Linked DNA regions of Mytilus edulis. The protein of the gene in region 1 purifies or fractionates together with the protein of each later gene. This does not show direct contact. Links are inferred from orthologs where the notes say so. Each region holds a gene or a part of one and is shown in the gene's direction. Other genes may lie near its edges.

Region 1 (13,596 bases):
ATACTGTATAAATTTATATTTGAATAATCTTTCATACATGTAACCTACAACATACATGTAGTACTAATACATCAATTTTTCAAATCTTGACATATAAGTAATTGGTATTGTTATTTACAAAATGCAGATAACCATAATTTTAATTCTGTTTCATTTATCATTTTGCAATAATTTAGATTGTATATAGAATCATTAAAAACCTTTTTCTTTATATTCAATCCTTATTTTGTTTAACAACACTTTGAAAATAATTGATAAGCTGACCTGTACCTTACCCAATAATTATATAAGTAGTGTGTGTGTAAGTGTCTAAATTTTTTCACGTTTCATAGATCTACAAAAAACATTAGTTGATTGCCAATACTTTGAGGCAGTGAGCTTGTAACCTCCTTGGTTTTGATCAAAACTCAGGTTTAACAAATAAGCTTTTAGGCCATTAAATTTCCTTAAACATGTCAAACTAGTAGTAGCTAGTCTATGAAATATCTCATCTGTTGAGGGTGAATTAGATTTATCTAATTTTAAGTCTATGCAATACCTTATTTGTTCAGGTGGTGCTTGTATTTCAACAACGTCTCCAGGATCTGCATATGCATGATCATTAACATGTGATTCTGCCGTGTCTCCTGGAGAATTGTCTGCCTCCTCACCATCCTCCTCCTCCTCATCTGGTTCCCTCTCCTGTGTAGTAAAACCAACAGCTTCTTCTCCAGGAATAGCTGTCCATCTTGTACTGAAATCAATCGACAAACTATCTGGTGCCGGACTATCGTCGTCTGACCTTCTTTCCTGGTTATCGTCAGGATCGTCATCAATCTGATACTCCATATCTTCCTCAAATGTCACATGACCACTTGATATGTTTGTATCCTCGTCTGATGCAGTATCATCATCATCCTCGTCATCTTCTTCTTTATCTTCCAACTCTGGGTCAGCAATTAATGGCATAAACCCACTATAAATAAAAATAAATTAAAAACTATTAACTAAAATCATCAATAAACATGATTAAACTGAACTTTAAACTGAACGTTAAGGATAGTTGATTCAAAGAAAAATAAGACAAGGTAAACCAAATTTCCGAAAGGAAGGTGTGGCAAACAGATATAAAACATTACTATTTAGGGGCCAGCTGAAGTCCAACTTGGGGTGATTTTTCTAACAGTATTAGTGACCTTAGCTGTTTTCTGCTCTTTGGTCAGGTTGTTGACTCTTTGACACGTACCCTATTTCCATCTCAATTTTATATTGACAAATAATCATAATTTCTTGTTTGGTGCTGTGATTTCTGTTTGTCTCAATCTTTTTTTTTTAAAAACATAATTCTTGAATACTAATATGAGGCAGGCATTACCTGTATTAAAATGGGGACGAAGTTTGTATGATTTATTTTTTTGTAACTTAAATATTTGTTAAAAAAAAAAACTTTTCCGATTTTGGTTCTGTTGTTGGGGATTTTAGTTGTGACGTTATTTAAGTAATGACGTCATATGCAATGTAAACAAAGCTACGCTATCATCAGGTAACGTTTTTTCATATCAAGGAATTACATGTATTAACAAATGATTAAAAATGAAATTGGTATTGCGTTTCTTCCTGTTTTATACTAGACTGATAAATATATATATTTTACTCAAAGTTTCATACAAACGAGACAGGGAAAAGTAAGTACATTGTAGATTTCTGCGCAGATGTGGGAATTCAAAACATGACATCAAAAAAATTGAACGATTTTGAGTTCATTAGTACAATGAAAATTTCGGGAATTTTCCCGATATTTTTTTTTTATTTTATTGCTTTAAATAACCACTGAAAGATAATTATAAGGTCATGAATTGGACCATCTAAAAAATTCATTATTTTCAGCAATTTTCAAGAGAACATTTGACAATTCATGTCAAGGTAAATAAATACATGTACATGTAGACAGTAGTCCTACAATTTAACAGTGTGAAGGAGTAGTTCAAGTTTTTTGTTCTGGCAAATTATTTTAAATATAAATAAACGACCAACTGTAAACTACCATCTTAGAAAAAAATCGTGTGTTTACAGTGAAAGATTCCAGTATAAATATACACATCACTACCGGAAAATCACCATTTTCCATGTGATTGGTAAACTGGACTCAGGTGTTGCTTTGCTCTCAATCTAATGTGGCAAATTACCAATCAATGGGTGGCCAGTTAATGTGTTTGGTTGTTAAAAAAAACAGATATTTTACAATTATAGTTATTTTTTGTTGGCATACTGTTAAGATTTTGTTGCATTTTAGCCATATTGAATACTTCTGATGGAAATTCATCTGACTGCCTGGTCTGTGGGTTTAATTATGTATAATGTATTCCTCAAAATTTTTCTTTTGGAAATTTCTTTTTAAGAAATGAAAAAGTTTTAGGATCAGGGGGTTTAAACTAGGGTTCGTCGAGTAACTTGAACCACACATATACTAATTACTTTTATTTGGTTATGTCATAATATATGAAGGTATGGCTTAAAAATATTTAATTTGTTGTTTATACCCTCAAGTCCAGTTTCCCCTTGGCTGGTAAGTTTGTTCATTTAAGTAAAGAACTTAATATGGGGACGAAGACCCAATTATGGTAGAAAAATTAATAAAATTAAAAATTAAAAAAAATCAGGAAAATTTTTCATTCTACTAATGAACTCAAAATCGTTAACTTTTTTTCAGACTTTTTTAAATCTCCGCATCTGCACAGAAATCTACTTCCTTTTCCGGTCTTGTTTGCATGAGACTTTGAATAAAATATGTACTTATCAGTCTAGTAAAATATAGGAAGGAACTCAATAAACCATCTCATTTTTAATAATTGTTTGATATGAAAAAAAAACGTTCCCTGAACAGCGTTTCTTTGTTTACATTGAATATGACGTCATAATAAAAATAATGTCACAACTAAAATCCCTAACAACAGAACCAAAATCGGAAACGTTACGGTATTTCCATTTTGAAATTAAAATATGGTTGAATGAAAAAAAAAAAATCATACATTCTTCGTCCCCATTCACAGGTAATGCCTGATTCCTATTATTAAATGAACAAAATTACGATCTTGAGCCATGTATCTATGACTATGAAGACATGGTCTGATAATACGTCTGTTGTAAGTCATATGGATTCGTACTACATGTATGGATGCTTTTTCGGTGGAAAAAGTGACATCACAATGCATCAAAGTTGTATCAAAGTTTTTAGAGAGAGCCATCTTCAAGCAGCTAGTTGATTTTTTTCAAATTAAAAATATATTTCACCCATATTTGTTTGCCTTTAGAGCAGGATACTGCTGCCAGACAGCACTTTTGAAAATCATTGAGGATTGGAAGAAGGCTATTGATGATAATCAATATATTGCTGCTGTTTAGTCTTTGATTGCTTTCCTCATAATTTATTAATTTTAAACTAAAGTCATATGGACTATCTGAAACAGCTTTAAGCTTGATAGACAGTTATTTACATGTAAGTAAAAGAAAACAATGTGTAAAAGTTTAGATATAAGTATCTAGAAAGATATATATAAAGGTGTGCTGCAAGGCTCTATTTTAGGACCTGTAGGCTGTACTTTTTAATATTTTGTTGAATGACATTATTCATTTTGTATCAAGCAGTTCATTGTATAATTATGCAGATGACAATACTTTGTCATATTCACACACTGATTTACACTGTGGTAAATATTTTAGAAAAAGAAAGCTTAGAGCTAATAAATTGGTTCAGTCTAAATCATATGAAGGCCAACCCGACAAGTTTCAGGCAATAGCAATAGGCAAGAAAACTGAAAATAAAAACATTTCATTTAATTTAGATGGTAATATTATACATAGTGAAAAAGAAGTGTAATTACTTGATGTTACAATTGAATATCAACTTAAGTTTGATGCCATATTTCTAACATTTGTAAAAAGGCATCAAGACAATTACATGTACTTAAACGTATTCATTGGTAAACATTTAACAAAATTAGGTAGACTTACAATATATTATTCATTTATCATTGTTTTGTAATATGGCACTTCTGTGGTGATTGTAATACCAGAAAAATAGAGAAAATACAGGAGCGTGCCCTAAGATTTATATTATATATGAAGAGTATTGTAGTACTTATCAACAACTGTTAATTAAATCAAAATTACCAAGTTTAGAAATCAGAAGAATTAGAATAATAGCAATAGAGGTATATAAATTTTTTAATAAACTATGTCCATTATATCTACATGAACTTATTGAAATTAAAAAAATGTTATTACTCTTTTAGAAATAACAACATAGCAGATATGTTTCCAGGGTAAGGACAACTACCCATGGGCTACACTTATTCAGATATGCAGGAGCCAAACTCTGGAACGAACTGCAAAATAAAATGAGGGAAGAAATGCCATTGGGTCAGTTTAAAAGTTTGGTTGGTAATTGGAAGGGCAGTTCGTGTCAGTGTTCCTCCTGCAGATCTCAGTGAGCTGTAGATCAGTTTATTTATTTACATGTATCTTGTATACTCTGGCTTTTAAATTTTTAGGCATAATTTTTTATTTGTGTTCTAAATACGTGAACTACTTTTAGTGATTTATAATAGCTATTGCATGAATGTTAGTTATCTGCATTTTATGTTTGCTGTATATGCTTTAATTGTGCTTATTAATTGCTGTGCTTGATAACATTATTTATTTTGCATGATGTGCTTTATGTTTTATTTGTTTTATGTATTGTGCTTGTCATATATCCTTCTTTATTATATAGGTACCAGTGTTCTCCTTTTTTCACTAAGGTAAGGTGGGTGTTTTGAAAAAAAACACTTGCAACCGGTTGATTTTTTTAACATTTTCAACCGGGTTTATTTTTTTCAGTTTTACTGTGGGTTCGGGTCACAAATAGAATGATAAGTATTGTGTTTACATTTAATGGAATTGAACCATTCTTCTGCTATCACTGCCAGCCTTTCATTAAATGATTTGACAAAATAGTTTCGTGCATATCGGATAGCAGTTCATAATTGCTTTTGCAGGACTCCCTCCTCCTACGAAGTCTGCTAATGCATGGCCTATCAAACCAAGTTTCTGTCCTGTTCCTTGCTTTGGTGCTGTTTTGGCACACAGAACAGTAATATCTTTCTGTGACGATATCCATTGAAAGTCCTGTTCATATTTATCACCACCCCTCAAATGAGGGGTAATCTCTCAATTTAATGACTATCCCTTTTATGAGGGGTACATTTAAAAGGAAACAGATGAGGGGAAACCTCTTAATGTAATGACTATTCCTTTTATGAGCATTGAGGGGTACATTTAAAGAGAAACAAATGAGCACATATTTGTTTTGGGCCTTTTTAACTCATTATGGACACTCTTGTAGAAAAGTTGTACCAAATAAAACGATTTCCCCCCTTTTAAGGTAATAAATCTAAGTTTTTCTTTTTCTTTTCTTCCGAGTTTCTTCCACAGTAATATGACCCCTTTCCTGATGGACAGTCCCTCATTTGAGGGATATCCCTCATTTTGGGATTGTTCCCAACCTGTTTATCTTCGCGATCACCTGTGTGCCGATTCTGTTGTTTTGATACTTTTTTTTCAATTTCAACAATTTCAATTCAACTATCCGTTTTAGTTGACTTATATGGCTTAGAATTTTTCTGGTCATCTGCCTTTCTATTCCCCCGATTAATAAAAGAAAACATTGAAATTTGACGATCCGCCATTTTTGTCAATGAAAACAAACTGCGAGGCGCGATTAGTATTTAAATTTTTACGGTGCGGAACCGAAAAAAATCCGGAATTTGAAAAAAAAAACCGACCACCTCCTAAAATGGAAAGGTGGTCGGCTTTGAAAAGAAGGTGGTCGGCACACCCAGCTTAAATGCCGAATGTAAAACACTGATAGGTACACCAATTTGATTTTTAATTCATATGGAATCATAGAAAAATTGGTCTGAACTAACCTCCAAACCATCAATGATTCTGTAATGAGGGGTACCCAAATTGCATCCATGCTTAAGTTCTCATCGTCAAAAGTTGAATAACAGAGCTATTGTTTAATTTTTTCAAATATTTTGAACAATTGGATATTTTTCCATGCTTACTCTTCATCTTTTTTAGATATGGATACTTGAAAGATATTGTATTTGCAAATTTTAAAAAGATGACGTTTCGGTACATTTTGCTTTTTTCAGTAAACACTTCATCTGTTGATAAATACTGTGAATTTTTTGTGTATTTCTAAATATTTTTGCCTATGTTGAAAGACGTGCATAGTATCAAATCATAAAAATACAAATTGTTTAGTCTCTAGGAAATCTTTCAAGATTTCCGCTACTGTTTTTGCTAAATAGGTGCCATTTGAGTACCGTTACGTTATACAATAGCATTTTAAAAATACTATAATTGTTTAGTCTCTAGGAAATTTGCACTGCTGTTTTTGCTAAATAGGTGCAATTTGGGTACTCTGTTCAATTTGGGTACCGTTACGTTATATACGATAGCATTTAGTAATATAGATATATATATATACAACACCTTGAGATGTGCATTTAAATCGTCTCAACCTCTAAAGAGTAATTATTCATCTAAATTGTCAACTTATTAATTTGAATCCTTCGTCAATGATGTAGAGCTTAGTTTTAATTTAAGGTTCATCATAACAAATGGACAAATATGGCCGTATTTTCAGCTCAAAAACTACTCTGTGTACAGACTTACCTGTGCTGTTTGGAAAGTTTTTATGCCTAGCATCCACTAGATATATAAAAGTTATATGCATTTTAGGTTTAAGAAAGATAAAATCTTTCTTGGTTTTTGATGGGCATTTTTTTTCCTTTCTGCAGAAGGTGTAAAAATAAACAAACACCTGAATTACTTTGATACTGTCCACTCACTGACTCAGATAAACTCTTTAACTCACCTAAAGTTGTGATGATACCTGTTGTCCATGTCAATTAAGGACAATCAAAACAATACAAACCGGTTTTTTACCTGAGGGAGCATCTCATAGTTGTACCACAACTTATTTAATTTTTACACCTTTTGCATGAAGGAAAAAAAATGCCCATCAAAATCAAAAAGACATTTTATCTTTCTGAAACACAAAATGCATTTAACTTTATTATATCTAGTGGATGCCAGGCATTAAAAATTTTCCAACTCCGCATGTAAGTCTGTACTCAGAGTAATTTTTGGCATGTAAATACAGTCATATTTGTCCGTTTGTTATGATGAACCTTAAATTATCATGTTAGTTTTTGGTTTGTCATGTAAACCATGTAAACAGGACTTTGTTATAATATTTGGTAAATTATGGGAAATTGCTTTTTAAATCCCTTGAGGAAGATATAAACGAGTAATGATACAGCTAAAAATACTGAAAGTTCCTTATTGTTGTCCATAATCTTTACTTCTAGTTTAATAATATTTTTGGTTTTAAGTCAGACTTTTGTAACATGTAACATAATGTATTCCATTCATCTGACTCATAGTGCAATTTTTTTGTGAAGTGCTCAAAATTTCCTGACGTTTACTACAGTAATTAAGTAAAATACTCATTAGCATTAAAAAACTAACGATGGTTGCATTGCAACAAACAGTTGTTCATGAGGTTCGTCGTTCTCCATGTTTGTTGTCCATATATTGGGTTAACTGAATTTACATATTTTAGTAAACAAAACGAAACAAGTGCGCCTTCATAAGTTCGTATTCCGATAAATAAATAATTGAAATGAGTAAACCGGAAGTCAAGATCATGGCGGGATTTTGCAGATCAACAAATCAAAACAAAACACAAAATAATGATTATTATGATTCAGACTCTTTTCTTTGTAAATGAAAATGGTATTTTGATATAACAATGCATTTATGTATTTGTGAGCTCAAATGGGATATATTTAACTGGGAAATAAACACTGTAAAACGAATTATTTTGCATCTTGGTTCAAAGTGATTGACAGAAAAATTGTAATGTAAACAAAATGAGTGCTTTAAAACTTGCTTCATGTGGAGATGATATAAAAGTTTGGGACACCAATAACTTCTCTATTGTGAGACAGTTTAATCCGCATGAACAGAACATCAGTTCCATTGCATGGAATGGCAAGAAGTCTACATGGAACAGTGATAGTATCCTTTAATAATTTAATTAAAACCAGTTCACTTTTAAGTTACTTTAAAAAACAAAACGTTTTTAATTTTCAAATACAGCACCTCATCTGTTAGTGTTAGTGACATGCTGGAACATCTTGGATAGTCTAACCTTCAACATTGTACAAGAACAAAGGAAACACAGCTGTATTATATAAGCTATAGAACAACTTATATAAAAATTGATACATCCATCAAGCTTATACATGTACTAAATGAATGCCCTTCCAGAATTAAAAACAAAATGGCACTTGGAATTCATTCATGTAAAACAACTGTATGGAAGGAGTCGTTCTATTTTCGAACAATCAGAGAGTGTTAACACCTTGTCCAACTATATACTGTCTCTACCACGAGTCCTGAATCTTTCAAGTCTCAGCTTCGTCATTAAATTAATGACATGTTATTAATTACACCCATTTTATTGTATCATATGATTATTGTTTGAAGTAATTTAGCTTTGTCACAGAGTCTTTAAAAACCTTGGTCCAAGATAATTCTTGGCTTCCAATGGATGCTTTCCTATATCTAAAGTAGGTATTTTTCTGTCCAAAATGATTTGCTGCTTTGTTGCTTCTTGAGACGACTGATGGCTTTTAATCCATATAAATCAGGCCTCAATCAGTTCATTTTATATCTCTTCATTTATGAAAATTTCAGCTTTACATGTATGTAGCTGACTTCCTTTACTTTATTTTTTTTTCATATTTAGACATATTTCACAGTGACCAATATTCAGCAAATCCATCATTTTTACTTTCATTTTCAAATACATTTACAATAATCTATACATGTATATATGACATGTATGAAACCTTGTTTAAATTAGGTGTATATTTAAACCCCCATATTTATTGCAATACATCTACATGTACATGTAGATTCATATTTCCACAATTTGACCAAAAATTAAATTTTGTGTATGTGTAAAATGTCAATATTTATATGATACTCCTTAATTCTCATGCCAGATTTGTTATTATGCAGTGCATCTTCTAAGAGTGATAAAATCTGTTTTACTGCTGTGAAAGATACAGCCGTAACAGTAACAGAATTTGATAGTCCTGTAAGTATATATAACAATGTGCCATTTCTTCAATTATGCTTGGTGTTACTTATGGAATTAATTACTTGCTGTTTATATGAAAACTTAACAAAACAACAGATTAAAGTAGGTGTACATGTGCAATTTGTGTCTGGTTTTATTAGCATCTTCATTATTGTTATACCTGAAAGTAAATCTGTACATGTATTTACTAACCAACACAACATTTTTATAAATAGAATAAAGAGGACCAAAATAATGCACTCCACTGCTTTTTAACAGCAAAAAGTCCGATGTTTAGAGAATTTGGCATTAATTAGCTAGTTTCCCTATATGATACATTTATTTTGCATCTCAATTCTGATTATTTATACATCCTCCACAGCTTGACAAGAGAAGTCCATGTGATATTGAATTTAAATAAATAATATGTTCTGAAGACTATTTTTTTACAGGCAGGAAGTTTATGTGTAGATTTTAACTCCACTTCATCATACCTGTTAGTTGGTGGAACAGACAGCTGTATCAATGTATGGGATCTGAAGTCACGGAAAATAAAAAAACAGTACAAGGTATGAGTGTATGGGATCTGAAATCACAAAAAGTACATAAACAGTTTGGGGTATCAGTGAATGGGGTCTGAAATCACAAAAAAATACATAAACAGTATAAGGTATATGAGTGAATGGGATCTGAAATCACAGACAAATTTAAAAAAAAAAAAGTATAAGTTATGAGTGTACATGGTGTATGGAATATGTCATCATGGAAAACAAACATTATAATGTATGACTATATGCATGTGATTTCTTGTCACAGACATACACTTGAGTTCTAAAACAGATTGAAATGAATAATTTGGATGAAGCTATGCACTTAGAAATGTAAATTACTTGGAAAATCTGCTCAAATCCTATATTATTTTTACAGTTATGCCCCCTTAGATTGATATAATATATTGGTTGTATTACAAATGGAAAATTTCAGAACCAGTCTTGTCTTACAGAATTATTGATAAATTTCATTTCTTTTTTAATGGACTAAATAATTTACTAAACTTTTTGTCAATACTTGATTGACTGTTAGAAAATTTACCTGTGCTAGTTGTTTCTAAAGATTTATTTTTGTCTAATTTACAGGACCATAAAGGACCTGTGACTTGTGCCCAGTTTAACTGCAATGACACATACATTGCATCTGGTTCTGAAACAGGAGAGATTATCTTGTTTAATGTGGTTACAGGTCAAGGTTGCAGTCCAATGGTTGCACCAAAGTGCCAGGTATTCCTATTTTTAAGTTATGTTGTATAATATTAATTATGTCTCTAAATCTATATACATACATAATTTGAATGCTGTTGATTCATTTAAAAAAAAGTTATTTTTGTGGGATTTTTAATTTATGTGGATATTGTAAGGAGGGGAAAACATAGAAATTAAATGCTTAAAGATAAGAACTATATTTTTAGTTTATTTGATAGATGCAAATAATAAAACCCTGAAATAAGGTACCGTTTAAAACTTAAAAAGTATGTTTATTGAGCAAAAATTATTAGAATATTAAAAATATTTACATTTTTGTGTACAAAATTAATCTGATAAAGTAACTCAATGTTTTTTTCTTTTTCAGACAGTACGTCAGATACAGTACAGTAAATTTAGAAAGTCATTACTGGGGTCTGTGTCTGATGATGGTGCTGTTAACCTGTGGGATATCAATACACGTAGACTGCTTCATAGCTTCTCAAGTTCTCACATTGCACCAGCCACGGGTTTGAACTTTTCTCCCATCAATGATATATTGCTGATGTCTGTAGGACTTGATAAAAGAATTGTATGCTATGATACTCAAGGGAAAAAGTAAGGATTACATTCTCCTTAGGTTTTGCATGTATAAAAATGTAGTATAACTTCTAAAGATATTTTAGATGTAAAATAGTTTGTTATTCATATCTAATAAATTATGGGATTTGTTAAACATTAACGTTTAATTTCTTCTATTGCTTAGTAAAATATGTTAATTTGTGAACAGCCATGTAATGAAAATGAAATTATCTCAGAAAAGTTTAACAGTATTTAAATGGTGGCTAATAGAAGAAAAAGCATAGTAATATCACATAATGTAAAGTTGAAGAACCTTAGATTCATGTTTCTTATGATAACTATTTGTATCACATCTATAAAACATTTACCCTGTTAAACAAACAAAAAGCCATCAGTGTTCTCCCCAGGATTTTTTTAAGGCGCAAAATTCAAGGGCGCGTAACTCTTTTTTTAGAGTGAACTTTTGTGATCTGAAGCAATCAGTCATTAATCCATGACATGCAATATGAATTATAATGCTTTGTGTTATGTGTTTGATAATGCAGAGTATTCAATAATGAATTACAAGAATATATATATATGAAATAAATTGATTTTAAACACAAAAGTTATTTATAAGTCAAAATATAAATATTCATCTCTGTATTCTCTGCTCCTTCTAGGGATAATTTTTCAAGATACTGTTATTTTGTTGGACAGTCTGTTCCTCAATTTTGTCTTTATCCTCTTTAGGGTTGAAAACCCCCTCTCACAATAACTTTTGCTTATACCCCCTTTAACATTTGTAAGCCATGAAAACTCAGTCAGCCACTTGTCATTGAAACCAGAAACATGGTGCTTGCTGTTATCACTTGCTAAAACTTAAGCTAGGTTGGGATTAGGAGAAGCAATGACATCTGCTTATACTGACAGTGAAGAGGAAGGTGTATTCCCCTTTTCATGAGAAGTCATTAGCGGCTGAAAAAAAACTTCTACTTCCATCATCTGCCTTTTGCTTAGAAGTCACCCTTTTGTTATTTGCAGAGAACATGTTCATTCAGAATTAGTAAAATCGAATATGGTTAAGATATTTGATCATATTTGGTATACAACTTTTTAAAACAAAAATATGTTAATGAACAGCTGACAAGTTTCCGTAGTTTTACATTACGCTTCCGTGTGTATTATTGTTAACACATATCTCTGGCTGGCGAACGGAATTTGACGATCGACGTTCAATGATCATTTTATTTCTAAAAACACGACAGTTTGAAACAATTTACCTTGCAAGTAACATTTTTTCACTTTATATTAAAATGAATCACTTCTCTTTATCTTTAATCAAAGTTTATTTTATTTTTTTCAATTACAAATACTCTCATTCATAATTTTTATCGTAATTATGTAAATATCTTTAGCAATGTGTATTCAAATTTATCATGTGTATTCATCACGTTCATTGGTCGTGTTAAAATAGATTCTTCTTCTCGACCAATGAAAAAATTCGTTATTTAAATGGTCAAGTGATCACACACACAATGCGTAAATACAATGTATTTGCGATCTATTTCTTCAATTTCTGCACTGAAGTTTTTATTTTTTTAAAATTTCTTCTACAAATATCTATCTTCTTGATGATCATGTAAGCTATTACATGATAACATAGTCCGATAAGGCCAGTGTTCTCCCCAGGCCGTTTTAGCGTCGCGGTACCGCGACGCTATATTTTTTCACCGTGATGCTATAATAATTCCCGCGACGCTATAATTATTTTGAAGATGCTATTTTACTTGTCCTCAATTTTGAACTTTCATCTATTATCGATTATGATCATAAAAATTATATCACCTTTAATTGTAATCCCTTTAAGTCGGACACTAAAGGCAATTAAGAGATTAAATAGCTAGGTGTTAATTGCCCTCAGGGTGATAACTGTTTGGATGCGAATATCCCAAGCTGACACTTGAGACACGACTAATACCACGTGTCTGCAATAACCAATTTCGACATGGAAAAATGCAATCACAAAACAATTCGAAATCTACGTTTTATATTACGAAATTTCAAAGATTGAATCAATTTTTAAATAAAAAGGTCGTTTATTTGTGCAACTCTCCAAAAATTACTTTCTTTCTCTTCCGGTAATAGGAGAGCGAGAATTTTGGTTTAGAGCTAAAATAAGTTTAATACTTCTTTAAAAAGTTATCATAATTGGCTTAAGTTTATATGTTTAATCCATTTAATGCATTAAAAGCGTCTTATTCATTCACAATCTCTTCTCAAACAATGTTTATTCTCGGACTCATTTTCGTAAATTTTTCTACAGCCGCCATTGCACATTTTTGTGTAAACTACGGATCGGAACCGGACCAGATACGACAAAAATCCGCATTTTCACGATAATGACAACAGATGGACAGTAGACAGAAAAAATATACCAAGAGAGAATACTATGCTTTAACAGACTATTTGTTAAATAACTTTGTTAAAAATACATATCATTTTAATGTAAAAATAAGAAACAACTGGAACTAATTCATTAAGTGCCATGAAACAATGAATGTCATAAACATGATAAAAAAAAGTTTTTAAATTGATTTTTTCTGCTACTTTTGC
Region 2 (12,591 bases), on another chromosome or scaffold:
TTTAACTTTTTTAAGTAGTGCAACAGCCTCTTTTGTTTTCTTGTATTCTTCAACTTTGTCACTGACCACCAATGGGACCTCTGGAATCTCCTCAATTTTGTGTCCTACAGAATAAATACAGATTAAATTCTCCCTCCTATGATCACATATTATAAAAGTTTGGCTTCGTACCATGCTGATATAAACTTCTTTTCAAGAATGTTGCTGGATCAATCTTATGTCACTAAGTTTCGTTCTGATAAGTTTTGTAGGTTTTATACTGCAGTGAAAACATTCAAATAGTTCTAGCATTATAGATATAAACTACCATGATTATGTATTGAACACTTACACAGTTGACTGCCACCAACTTTTTCTTATCAAAGCTGTGCCTGTCAAATGGATGGCTTTTTTCGATTGATACTTTTAGTATGGTAATATTATATTATTTCCATCCACAAATTTCATTGGTATGTGTAAAGTAAAATGAATTTGTAATCTTTAATATATTAAGATTTTTAGGGCAATAATAGCATCTGCATTTAGTGCATAAAAGAAAGAATACCCTCAAGGATAACATTACCTTTGGACATAACAAGAGCAGGTACTCCAGTGGCAGCAATGGCTGAGCAGATAGCGTATCTTTTTTGGTTAGTGTTTATTTTACGGTGCCATCTTCTCCATGTTTTTGTTGGTGCAAACATACGACCTCCACGACACATGTTTCCAAAAGCTCCCTGTCCAGATCTGTGAGTACCACCTCCTCTGACTCTGGGAATACGAGCTACAGCTCTTCCAGTTCCCCAAGATTCAGCTGAAGTCTGGTGACCTAAATTATACAAGATATTTATATATTAAAAATGTTACATTTTCTCCACTTTTAAAGTCCTATGTATTAATCTCTGTACCAAAGATGTGCAGAAGGTATTTGAGAATAAGGATATATACCTGTTATATATATATCGGAAACAAAACATTTTTCTTGCATGAAAAAATAAATGTTTATAACTTTATATCTTGGCTTATATTAATTATAGAAAGAAGTCATTACAAATCTTTCAGCTTTCTACACATGAAATATTTGAAAATTCATGTTAACAATCAATTCCAAATTTTCAATTTTAAATAGACATTTCTAAACAGATATCCAAAATAGCTTTGATAATTCTTTTCAACTGGAACCTTCACAAAGTCTTCAAATGGAACGTTTTGCAAAACTGACTTATTTGATTAGTCTTTGAGGTTTTATTTTTTACAATTGATATTTATTCTTGGAAGATGCATCTAATTAATTAACCCTTACCAGCTTTCTCACTAACAGCATATGGCTGTCTGGAGTTGAATCTCATTTGTGCATGTACAAAGGTGACAATGTCTGGTCTGATTGGTGCTCTGAAGACAGCTGGAAGGGTGACATTTGTTCCCGATGCATCCCCCTTCTCACCGTACACCGATATCAATGGTCTCGCTGCGGCAGCCTAAAATAACAAGCAAGTATTGCATTCATATCGTATACAACATAAATAGATTAAAACAATGCCATACCAGTTAATAATCCCTTCTACAATATTAAACACAGTAAAGTGAGTAAAGCTAAATTTCAAACACATGCATCTTATCATAATATGATAAACCAATAGTCTATTTACCAACTCCCATAATTGACCCTGTAATTAGAGACCTCTTTTTTTGTTGTCTCCCTTGTGAGGGACAAATTTTTATTGACAATGGAGAGCTTAAGTCACAGATCACAATTAATTCCTCATCAGTTCCTTATAACGTTTTGTATCCTTAAAAAAAATTGCAACATGCACTTTTGTCAATTTTTTAGTGTGTGTAATGTATAGTACTAGTCCAAATATATATCCAAAATTCAGAAAGATTGAAGCAATCACTTTTACAAATTTAGCCAATACACATCCATACCCCTATTGACAAGTCAAGAGATGTAATTATTACCTTTTTGCACTTGGCATAATCACTCATTCTATATCAAAATCAGTTTAAATACAACATTCAAAAATTTAATTCACCTCTCTTCTTTCATTTCCACCCCAAAAACTCTAAGAAATGAGTGAGGAAGGGAAATGAAAAAAATTATGGAAAAATACACTCTAATTAAAAGGAACTATATTCGTGGAGAACGAAAAGCAGGGTCATTAATTGTGGTCTTGGGCAAGGGGAAAGAGCAAATTATCCTGTGCGTATAAATGTAATATTTATGTTTTTCTTATCTGCTTATATTAATTTGTTGTATAGTTAAAATATACATTGTATTTTTGTAACCAAAAGTTATTATTCATGAAAAATTAGATACTTTTCATCTGATCATGCTTTGCATTGACAAAAGCGAATTTTGTCCGATATAGCATTGACAAAACCAAATTTTGTCCGATAAATGGCGATATAGAACCAGTCTACGATTAACAAAGGGAAGCTTAAAAAGGGTGCTAAAACAAAATCAAAGCAGTAATTCGCCGTTTCAGAATCTAAAGCATCATGGGTAATTTCATTGTTCGTACCCCAAAGTGAAAATAACGTTACGTCATTAGTTTAATTTCCATTGTTTATAACGTTTTAAACCAATCAAAATGCTTTGGTGTACGCTTTTGAAAATATTACCCAGGATGCATTAGATTCTGAAACGGCGAATTGGCAAATGGACTACTCTAAAAAGGCTAAATATAACAATAAATGTATGAATCACTTGAACCCTTATACTTCACTACTTGTAGGGCAATGTGTTTTATAATCTTAATCAAGTATAAAAAATAGTTTTCAATATCAAAACTTTTATAAACATCAAATAACAGGTTAGGGACATAATAACCTAATATTGCAAAAATTGGATATCAAAATAAAAGTAACGGTCAAAATTCCATATGGTTCACCTACAGAACACTCTGCAATATAATGTATGGTCAAGATGGATGACTGTGTATCATATACAATAACTCCTGAACAGTTGCATGTTTATTGCAAATATGGTCAATTGAATGAGGACGATGTGACCCGATACGATGTATATCCCCCCTTTTTTATGAATTCATGCCGGTGTCCTTTATTACAGGAATTTGAAGAGATCGATTAGTATATTGCGTTTAAATGAAGACTATTTTGACATTTTAGACCAACAAGTTAATGTTATCATGTTAAATATAAAGTTTTCGTACCATGCTTAATAATATTTGTGAGAGCAGAAAAACGTGGTCGCTCTGCTCGAGATAACGTGTAAAAGGATGCGGATGGATATCTTCGGGACTATTTTCCCGTGCAACTAATAACCAAAATAATAAGGAATACAGCATTAAACAACTATCTTCGTAAAAGTAAAGATGTTTTTATTCAAAACTGGCTCTGCATATCCCCTCAGTTGCCAATGATGATATTATAGGATAGCGATGCTTTACTAAACATCGTCTACACAATAACTCGCAATATTTATAATGTCCAACCATGCTAACTTTAGCATACTGTTTTGTGGTTCTGCTTTATTGTACTGATTTTGAACAGTGTAAATTGTAACTTTATATTGTCATATATATGCACTATGCCCCTTGAGCGGGGTACCTCTTATGGAAATAAAAGATATTCTATTCTATTCTATTCTATTCATCAATTTGTCAATATAAGCTCATAAATGAACTTGCAAGTCTATAATTCAATTTTATGTGAACCCGTATTAATGTGAACTTCAATTGAACCCCTTAGCTGGATATGGGTTACACATGTACTATACGTCAGTTCAATTATTTTAAGACAAAGAATGTCATCAATGAAAGTTAAACCTGGGAATAGTAACGTGACGGTACCCAAATTGCACCTATTTTGACAGTTTTTTCACCTACGTTTTTTTATGATCAAGAAAAAAATGTCCATACTGTGTTTATTTTGTAGCCCTATCCTTCTTTATTGTATAGGTACACCAATTTAATTTTGAATCCATTTTGAGTCATAAAAAAATGGGTTTGAATCAACCTCCAAACTATCCATGATTCTGTAATGAGGAGTACCCAAATTGCATCCATGCCGTTAAATTCACATCGTCAAAAGTCTAATAACCGAGCTTTTGTTTAATTTCTTCAAATATTTTGAACAAGTGGATATTAGTCCATGCTTATTCTTCATATTTTACGAAATGGATACTTATAATATATTGTATTTGCTAATTTTAAGAAGATGACGCTTTGATGACGTCGCATGATGACGTTTTCGTACATTTTGCTTTTTCAGTAAACAGTCCATCTGTTGATAAACACTGTGAACGTTTTGTGTATATCTGAATATGTTTACCTATGTTAAAAGACGTGCATAGTATCAAATCATAAAAATACTAAGTGATTAGTCTCTAGGAAATCTTGTAGGATTTCTGTTGCTATTTTTTCTAAATAGGTGCAATTTGGGTACTCGGTGCAATTTGGGTACCCTTACGTTATATAGTTAAAATATATGTTCCTGGTTAAACAGGTTGGACTGTTTGCGGTTCACTATTTCCGGGGCAATCATAAAAAATCATGTATTTAAACATGTTACAGCGATGATTAACATATATTTTAACCTCTAACATAATATCAACAGACATATAAAAATTCAATTGCACGTGCTCACAATCTATTCCTAGTTTAAATTACGTTTATATCGGCCTCGGCCGCAGTCTTCAGAAGTCATCTCGATGGTTGTTGTCTTTTTGACACATTCCTCATTTTCATTCTCAATCTTTAAATATGTACACGAAATGGGGATACATATATTCTTCCTTACTGATATAAAAGATCTAAATTGTCTAGCCCAAGAACAAATTATATTATAAATTATAAATCCTTGTCTAGCCGAAAAGGAGTAAGATAGAACTTAGAATTGTGGTATCATTGAAACTATACCACATATGTGTGTTATAGTCATATCACACACATATAAAAAATAATCAAAGATCAAATCTTGATATTAAATCAAATTATGTATAAGAAACATGACAAGTTCAGTTTTTTAAAGATACTTTATGATGATGAAAACTATGATACAATTTTTGTTTAAACATAGTTAAAAACAATTTCATAAATTTTCTAATATATCTTATCTCTGCATATAAATTTGCATTTGTTTTATAAAGGTGATTTTTGAAGAAGAAATAAAAACTTTTATACATTCAAAAAGTTAACTAAACAATTCGTTTGTAATTTTTCGTCCTGTGCATGACATTTCATCCTATCGGTGTTTTTTCCTTCTTTCATTTTTACCCTCTGATTGTATGCATAGTCGTTTGTATTCATGTCTGGTTTATCTATGTATGGATGTCATGGATGGGGAGCCCGCGGAAGATACCAAAATATCGCTTGTATGGATGTGGAGCCCGCGGAAGATACCATAATATCGCTAGTCTTCTAAAGCTTTACATGTCAGAAAGAATTAGGAAAAGTAATCTGTGATTCATTTCCTTTATGACTCAAATCGCATTGCAGTGAGGAGGATCTTTGGTTACTTTCTTTTAAAAATGTACGAGTGTTGTTGATCAGACGTACGATGTAACCAAAATTTTTACAGTAAGATTATAGAATTCATCAATAAGACGGAGAAGGTGTCATAGAAAAAAACAAAAGCATAAATTGAATAAACACTGTCACACTCCGGCTTAATTGTCAGAAAAGGGAATCGAGGAAAAGTCAAACAATAGTCTACAAAACACTTAGCAGAAATCTGAAGATTGAGCAATACGAAACCCACCAAAATCCCAGAATGAACTCATGTGATCAGGAAGGATAATTTATTCCTGCTCCACAAGCGACACATGTTGTGATAAATTTTCAGTAAACGGGAACAATCGTGATTACACTAAATTAAAATTTTGGTCTGAAATACCAGGAACATTTTATAAAATATTTGCAGGAGGAATCATAGTCATATAAAATTGTCATAGTGTGTTGTTTACTATAATAAATCATAATGTAACAGATGTAAAAATAGGATTTTACCAGGAAGGATTAGAAAATTTTCTATGGTCAGAGATTGAAAGTTAGCTAATTTTAATGAAATATCCTTCTTCCCTCTAGCTATTTAGTATACAGGTACTTTGGAAACCGTCTCAGTCTATTGAACTTTAAATTATATCATGTGGATATAACCTTGGTTCCGCACGAAAAAGTTTGTGACTGCGGGATATGAGTTTTTCAGTATAGATCATATAAAAAGCAGTTGTGTTATCTCTGCATAATTATATAAAACAAGAGCTGTATATAATATGATATTTTTTTTAATGTCACTGATACTGGAATAGTATTGACAAATTTGACAATGAGAGATTCCTTCATGGTAAATTTGCTCCCATGTCGGTACTTAACAATTAACCAACTTTAACACTGTGTGATCTGAGACTACTATAACACATATGTGTTATAGTAGTCTCAGGTGTGAATTGATTCATGATTTTCCCGAATATTTCTGTTTGATATATGATTTTCTGTAAAATAATTTATACACTGACTGTAAGTAAACAGATTATTCGCGAATTGACAGACACAAGATCTAGGATATATAATATGTTAGTTATAATCCATGATGACTTGAGTATACATTTTTTAGTTGTCTAAGAAAAATGTGACGGGTATAGTCAAACGCTTTGGATATGTAGCTTTATATGTATGTAGGTATGTATTTCTTATATCTCGATAAATAAAATCAATGAGGATTTAGGGAGCTACCATTTGATTTTTATGGGGGGGGGGGGGGGGGTTTGTTGCCTTTTATTTTGGCCGTTTTGAAATTATAAGCTTACATCGTTTTGTAAATTTTTGGTATTTAGCTTTTTTTCTTGAAGTTCAAAACACATTTGAAAAGTGTAAAACTATGATACCACAACTAATAGGTATCTATTCACAAGCAAACATGTACTTTAATATACCATCAATCATATTTCTTCGTAAATTGTAAGAAACTATTTTTTACTAATTTTGAAACGGAACTGTGTGAGCAAAAATTCAAGTGGAGACAACTCGGTTCACTACCGCCAAACACAAAATGTTACATGAAGTTCTGTTCGCTCTTTCTGGTCACTCTGGTGGTGTATTTATTGACAAAGGCGACGGGATACAAGTACTGTATAATTTTCAAAAGCATTATTGATTACTTTCACGACAATTAGCACATGATAATGCCACTTAAGTTATCAACAGGCTACACGTTTAAACATTTGTCATTTCTTATTTTATTTATATTTTTGTAAACAAATTGTATATTTTGGTACATTTTTGCACACTCAAATTGATTTGTCCCGAAAATATGGTGTTATATATGCTACTTGAAATAATATATATTAAGTATATAAGTTTAAGATATGAGCCATGTTTTTCTCATTAAAAGTGCAATATAACTTCAGGAAATTGATATAAAGCACTTCTGTCATAGGAATTGTGATTAAGTACCTACAGAACAAACATTATTTCTAGTTTATCCTGCACTATGACGATCACTAAGATGCTTGATGAACATAAATAAAGCAGGGATATCGGTGATCCCCTCTATCAGAATAATCTGGAAAACAACGTCTTAACGGGGCACAATTGATGATTTGTTTTCTGGTGAAGGACAAACTCGAAAGTGGTCTATTAGATTGGCATTTTAAAATTTCATTTATAAGTTGACAATATTAATGAGCCCAGGATATTATCTTATCTTTATTTGCATGAACTCAAATTATTTCATTGATCAGTTGACAGTTTATTGTCATAATCAGGACATCTATATATGATGGAGGGCTAATTAGAAGATTTAAAGTTAACCAGATATATCCACTCTTCTCTTCATGCTGAGGCAGATGAGACATGTCTTTGTTCTAACTGATGTATTTTCATTATTGTAGGTGTTGAGTGATGTTCCTTTCATATCACCATCAGAGGTGGATCAACTGAACAAACTTTGTAAACTTGGAACATTCTACAGAGATTTTAATAACTTCATTAGACAATATGGAGGACATCTTAGTCTTCAACCAAATGGTAAGTTGCCTTTGCCTGGAGAAATTTAAATCTTATAAAACTATATGTCATTACTGGCACTTATCATGCTTATTATATATTGCAAGGATGGTTTGAAAAATTAAAGGGGTCCAGTAGAACATGACATCTCAAATTTGAAAAAGACAACTTTTTGCAATTTAATAAAAATCTTTATACAGTTATTTGTATCAGATATCAAAATGCGAGCTTGTTATTGCGATACTCATTTCATGGCTTGCAATAATTTATGAATTAACAGTTGTAGCTTATGAAATGGTATTTAATAATTAAAACAATTTATGATTTCTTTGCAGACAAAAGAAAGTCTGAGATCCATGGTTTGTACCTGAAGTCTTTCTGTCATGGGTTAGATAAAGTTTTAGAGGATTACAGGGCATCCTTACAGAGACTCGAGATGGAAATACTAGCAGATCCAGACCTCACAATATCTCACCTTTACAGATCATTATTTCAAGTGTGTATTTATAGACCATGACGTGCTTATGTTGTTCATGATTGGAATGTTGTCCCTTTGACATAAACACCACATCTCTGTTTGTTTATAATACTTTAAAGCCTCTGGCCTTTGTTAGTCTTGTATTATTTTAAATTTAGTTTCTTGTGTACACTTTGGAAATTAGTATGGGGTTCATTATCACTGAACTAGTATATATTTTTTTAGGGGCCAGCTGAGGGACGCCTCCGGGTGCGGGAATTTCTTGCTACATTGAAGACCTGTTGGAGACCCTTTGCTGTTTTTTTTTCTATGGTCGGGTTGTTGTCTCTTTGACACATTCCCCATTTCCATTCTCAATTTTATTAAGATTACATATAAAACAACCATTCTAGTATATATACTACTTTCCCTTAACCAGAAACAAAATTAATAAAATGTTCTTCTAATTAAAAAAGTATCAAAACTTGAAGAAAAAAAATTGCACACATTATTTTTTGATATATATATATATCTATAAAGTCTCTGAATGATTGTATAATAAAAACTATAACACAAATTCCCATACTTTTCGGACATTACGGCCTTCTTCATTGGAATAAATTACAACATTGAAACAACAATTACATTGCTTGAATACATTACGTTATAATAACTTTTATGACGTTCAATTGCCGCGTTTTTCGCTTTTTTAATATAAATATTTTTATTATCGTTCATACATTGTGTTGAGTCCTTCAGGTTCTAAAGTTTTTAATTTCTTTATCCAAAAGGCTTCTTTAGTTTTTCTGTAAGTTTCTGTCCCAAATACTCTTTCTATGGCGGTAACTTTTAAATTTGTCATTGAATGATTCTTCTGAATGAAATGGTCGGCTACTGGAGCTTCTGTTTTCCTTGTTCGTATTTTTGAAAAGTTTAATAGCATTCGTTGATATAGTGTATCACCCGTTTGTCCTACATATATACATTTTTCACATTTTGTACAATTAATTGCATATACCACGCCTACGGTTTTACAATTTATTTGTCCCTGAATGGTATATTCTTTGCCGGTGTTGTCACAAAATACCTTGGTTTCATTTATATGTGAGCATAATGCACAATGTTTACCACATGGTCCACATCCATTAGTTTGTTTATAAAATAGTAAATTATGCTTTTTGTGCACTAAGATGTCTTTTATGTTGTTATCACGTTTAAATGCCACGATAGGCGGATCGGGGAATATTTTCTTTAGTCTTTCGGATTGATGGAGAATTTTAAGATTTTTTCTAAGAATTGAATGTACATTTGGAAGCGCTTTGGAAAAAGTAATTACTAAGGGTACCCTGTTGTTTTCTTTCTTCCGTTTGTACTGTAATAGATCTTCTCGGTTTAAATTGTCGACTTTTTTCAATTGAACTTCAGTGGACAAGTTATTGTATCCACGTTTTCTTAGGTGCGTTATTATTTCTTCTCTTCTTATTTTGTAATTTTCTTCTGTTTTTATTATATATATATATATATATATATTATATACAAATCTCATTAAAAATTTGTATTTGTAAATGTAGTATGTTAATGTTTATGACTTGGCAATTGGTTTGACTTTGAAGAATATAATAATATTAAGTATTGAACACTTTGCATTACACTGTAATAAATTGAAATTTATATGTGACATAGTTGGTACATGACCTTTCCTAATTGCTGGAGGACAATTAGACCAGTTTTTATGTGTATATGGTAGAAAAAATGTTTCTGTTTTCAGTATTTTTTGCTGTTTCCAGCATTATCTGCAATGGTAGAACAGATCAAATCACACAAGGTATTTTTATAATGGTTACTTTGTACTGGTATTAAACCCAACACAACATTCAAAATAATTCTGATTAGTAACACACTATTATTATAATTCCTATAAAATCCTTGTAGCAACCAGACCACATCTTCTATTCATATTGTTATAAAGATCAGATGTGGTATGTGATTGCCAACAAGACAGCTCTCCTCAAGAAACCAAATGACACAGAAATCAACAACTTGGGAGTAAAAACCTATACCCAAACTGTTTAAGTTCAGATTTGTCAGTTTCAGGAAAAAGCACTTTTTGTCTGCCTTTCTTTAGTCTCCCATAAAGACTGATATTTTATGTTTGTTAAATAATCACCATATTAGGCCAAAAATAAAATATTGTTTATTGCCCCTCACACGACCGACCCGGTAAAATCACCGCGACCCGAAAAATTTTATTGGCCATTCTTGTTCGTAAATACTTATTAACAGTATTTTAGGAAATACAAAACATGAATATAAAGTGAAGCCGTGTTTCTTCTAGAACTCGAAAAAAAACATACAAATCTTTGTTTAGGAATCAATTGACCAAGCTGCATGATCCAGGTGTAACTGAACATAACTAAATTAATATGTTTACTTCTATTGGATTTTAATTCATTGAATTTTAATTCCCAAGTGATTAACATACATGTATCTTTTTGTCATCTCATAATTGATGATCAAGGAATGAATTGGTGAACAAAGGAATTGTTTTGTTGTGAGTTAGTCATCAAATTGACTTGAAATAAACTTGATTTTTTGGGATACGATTGCTTTCAAGCAATCTGTAGATTTTTACCGCTGACTCAGGGCTGTATTCCCTCACGTCAACCATTTTATTCTAAACATTCAGCAACATCTCAGATTCTTATGAATGATTGTCTTGCTTTAAAAGGCAAAAACAGGCAAAATGATTGAACATAAACAACTTTCCTGTAATGTTCTTTTCATAATCTTCATGTTTGATATTTCCCTTGACCTATATGCGTGTTTTTAGCAACACGGAAAATCAGAATTTAGCAGTATTCATATTTAGTGTTTTTATAAATTTAGAAACACGTCAGAGGTAATTCCCCAGTTTTGATAAATGCGAGAGTTTTCTGAATTCCGATAATTCTATTTCTGTCATATAAGAACTGAAGTAGAGTTTTTCCAGATTTTACCGTTATGAAACTGATATTTGATACTGTACATTGCGATAAAGAAATGGAGAACCATTCATCATATCATTTAATAAACGTTCTTGTTCCAAATCGCAAGTCACGGGTTTGTTTATGTATTAATGCGCATGCGTATAGTTTTCTTGATTTCAATGAGTATCAGATTGAGTGGTTGCTCTGGATTCCCCGCTCCATTGATTAATTTGAAACTCATGGGATTCTTTCTATGTCTGTCTGCGAGATTCATGCATGTTCATGCTTTTTTGCGGCAGTATCCTTGGATCTATTTTTTTCCCTCTTTGATCTTTTCAATTTTGGCCAAATCTCACACATTTGCTTAATGAAAAGTTGGCAGAACTGCTCTACATGTGTCAATGAAAACTATGGCAATTGTATCCCTCAAAGCATTCTGCTCTTTGATTATTTAAAAAAACACTTGCTATCATTAAGCATTGTTATCACAAGTAGAATATGCACTTTTGTAGATTTCATTACATTAAATGAATAGGAAAAAAGGAGGTCCCTGTATACTGTTTTGTTTTAACACCAGACAAACTGAGGTGTACACTGAATTAGAATACAGGGAATACCCCACTTTTCTTGACTTTAACCTTACCTGTTGAATTTTATACAAATTCAATATAGAAAACCATATCAAGGAATAAAATAAAATAATTTGCCTACTTACCTACCTATACCCTAACAACCTCAGTCGGGTGAGGGGAAACAAAGATATTTTTAATGTTGGCCCTATGACAAGCTTTGCATGTGTTATTTCTGTAATATGCATCAATTTCTACAGGGTATATACTGTGACCTCTGTAAACCAAGTTTAAAGTCATGCAGGTAGTTGTGTATAGTATATAGCATTTTGATATAACATAAAAGTGGTCAGTTATTTACAAAAATATTTTGTGTCAGAATTAAATTACTTTAGTCTTGTGTATTTACATTATATTCAAATAGTATTATCATTTTATACGATTGTGAAGTTTCATACATCATGTACATCCTTTTATAGTGCTCTATGATTGGTTTAAATGTAAAAAGGATAATTATGTTTCCTTTGAATATTTTCAGGCACATGGCTGTTATATATTAGATATTGTACACAAACACTCTAACTGTGGACAGCCTAGTGTCAAGGAAGCAATGAATAAGTGAGTATATTTAATCATTCACATAAGATCCCGGG

The links.
Region 2: the proteins of protein NEDD1-like (region 1) and gamma-tubulin complex component 4-like purify together in Homo sapiens (affinity purification with mass spectrometry; 3 studies listed by BioGRID and IntAct, with this or other methods). This does not show direct contact. The link is inferred for Mytilus edulis from reciprocal best matches to the Homo sapiens genes NEDD1 and TUBGCP4.

What each region holds. Positions count from the first base shown.
Region 1 is NC_092344.1:14,863,696-14,877,291, reverse strand, and holds the start of protein NEDD1-like, read left to right. Parts: upstream 1-7,699; 5' UTR 7,700-7,964; coding exon 7,965-8,112; intron 8,113-9,104; coding exon 9,105-9,199; intron 9,200-9,633; coding exon 9,634-9,750; intron 9,751-10,317; coding exon 10,318-10,458; intron 10,459-10,807; coding exon 10,808-11,037; intron 11,038-13,596. Other genes in the region: methyl-CpG-binding domain protein 4-like, read right to left, coding at 539-955, 7,561-7,610. UniProt on the Homo sapiens protein: Required for mitosis progression. Promotes the nucleation of microtubules from the spindle.
Region 2 is NC_092347.1:34,713,151-34,725,741, reverse strand, and holds the start of gamma-tubulin complex component 4-like, read left to right. Parts: upstream 1-6,934; 5' UTR 6,935-6,990; coding exon 6,991-7,065; intron 7,066-7,831; coding exon 7,832-7,967; intron 7,968-8,281; coding exon 8,282-8,442; intron 8,443-10,171; coding exon 10,172-10,228; intron 10,229-12,476; coding exon 12,477-12,556; intron 12,557-12,591. Other genes in the region: large ribosomal subunit protein uL4-like, read right to left, coding at 1-104, 563-808, 1,283-1,457, 3,153-3,155. UniProt on the Homo sapiens protein: Component of the gamma-tubulin ring complex (gTuRC) which mediates microtubule nucleation.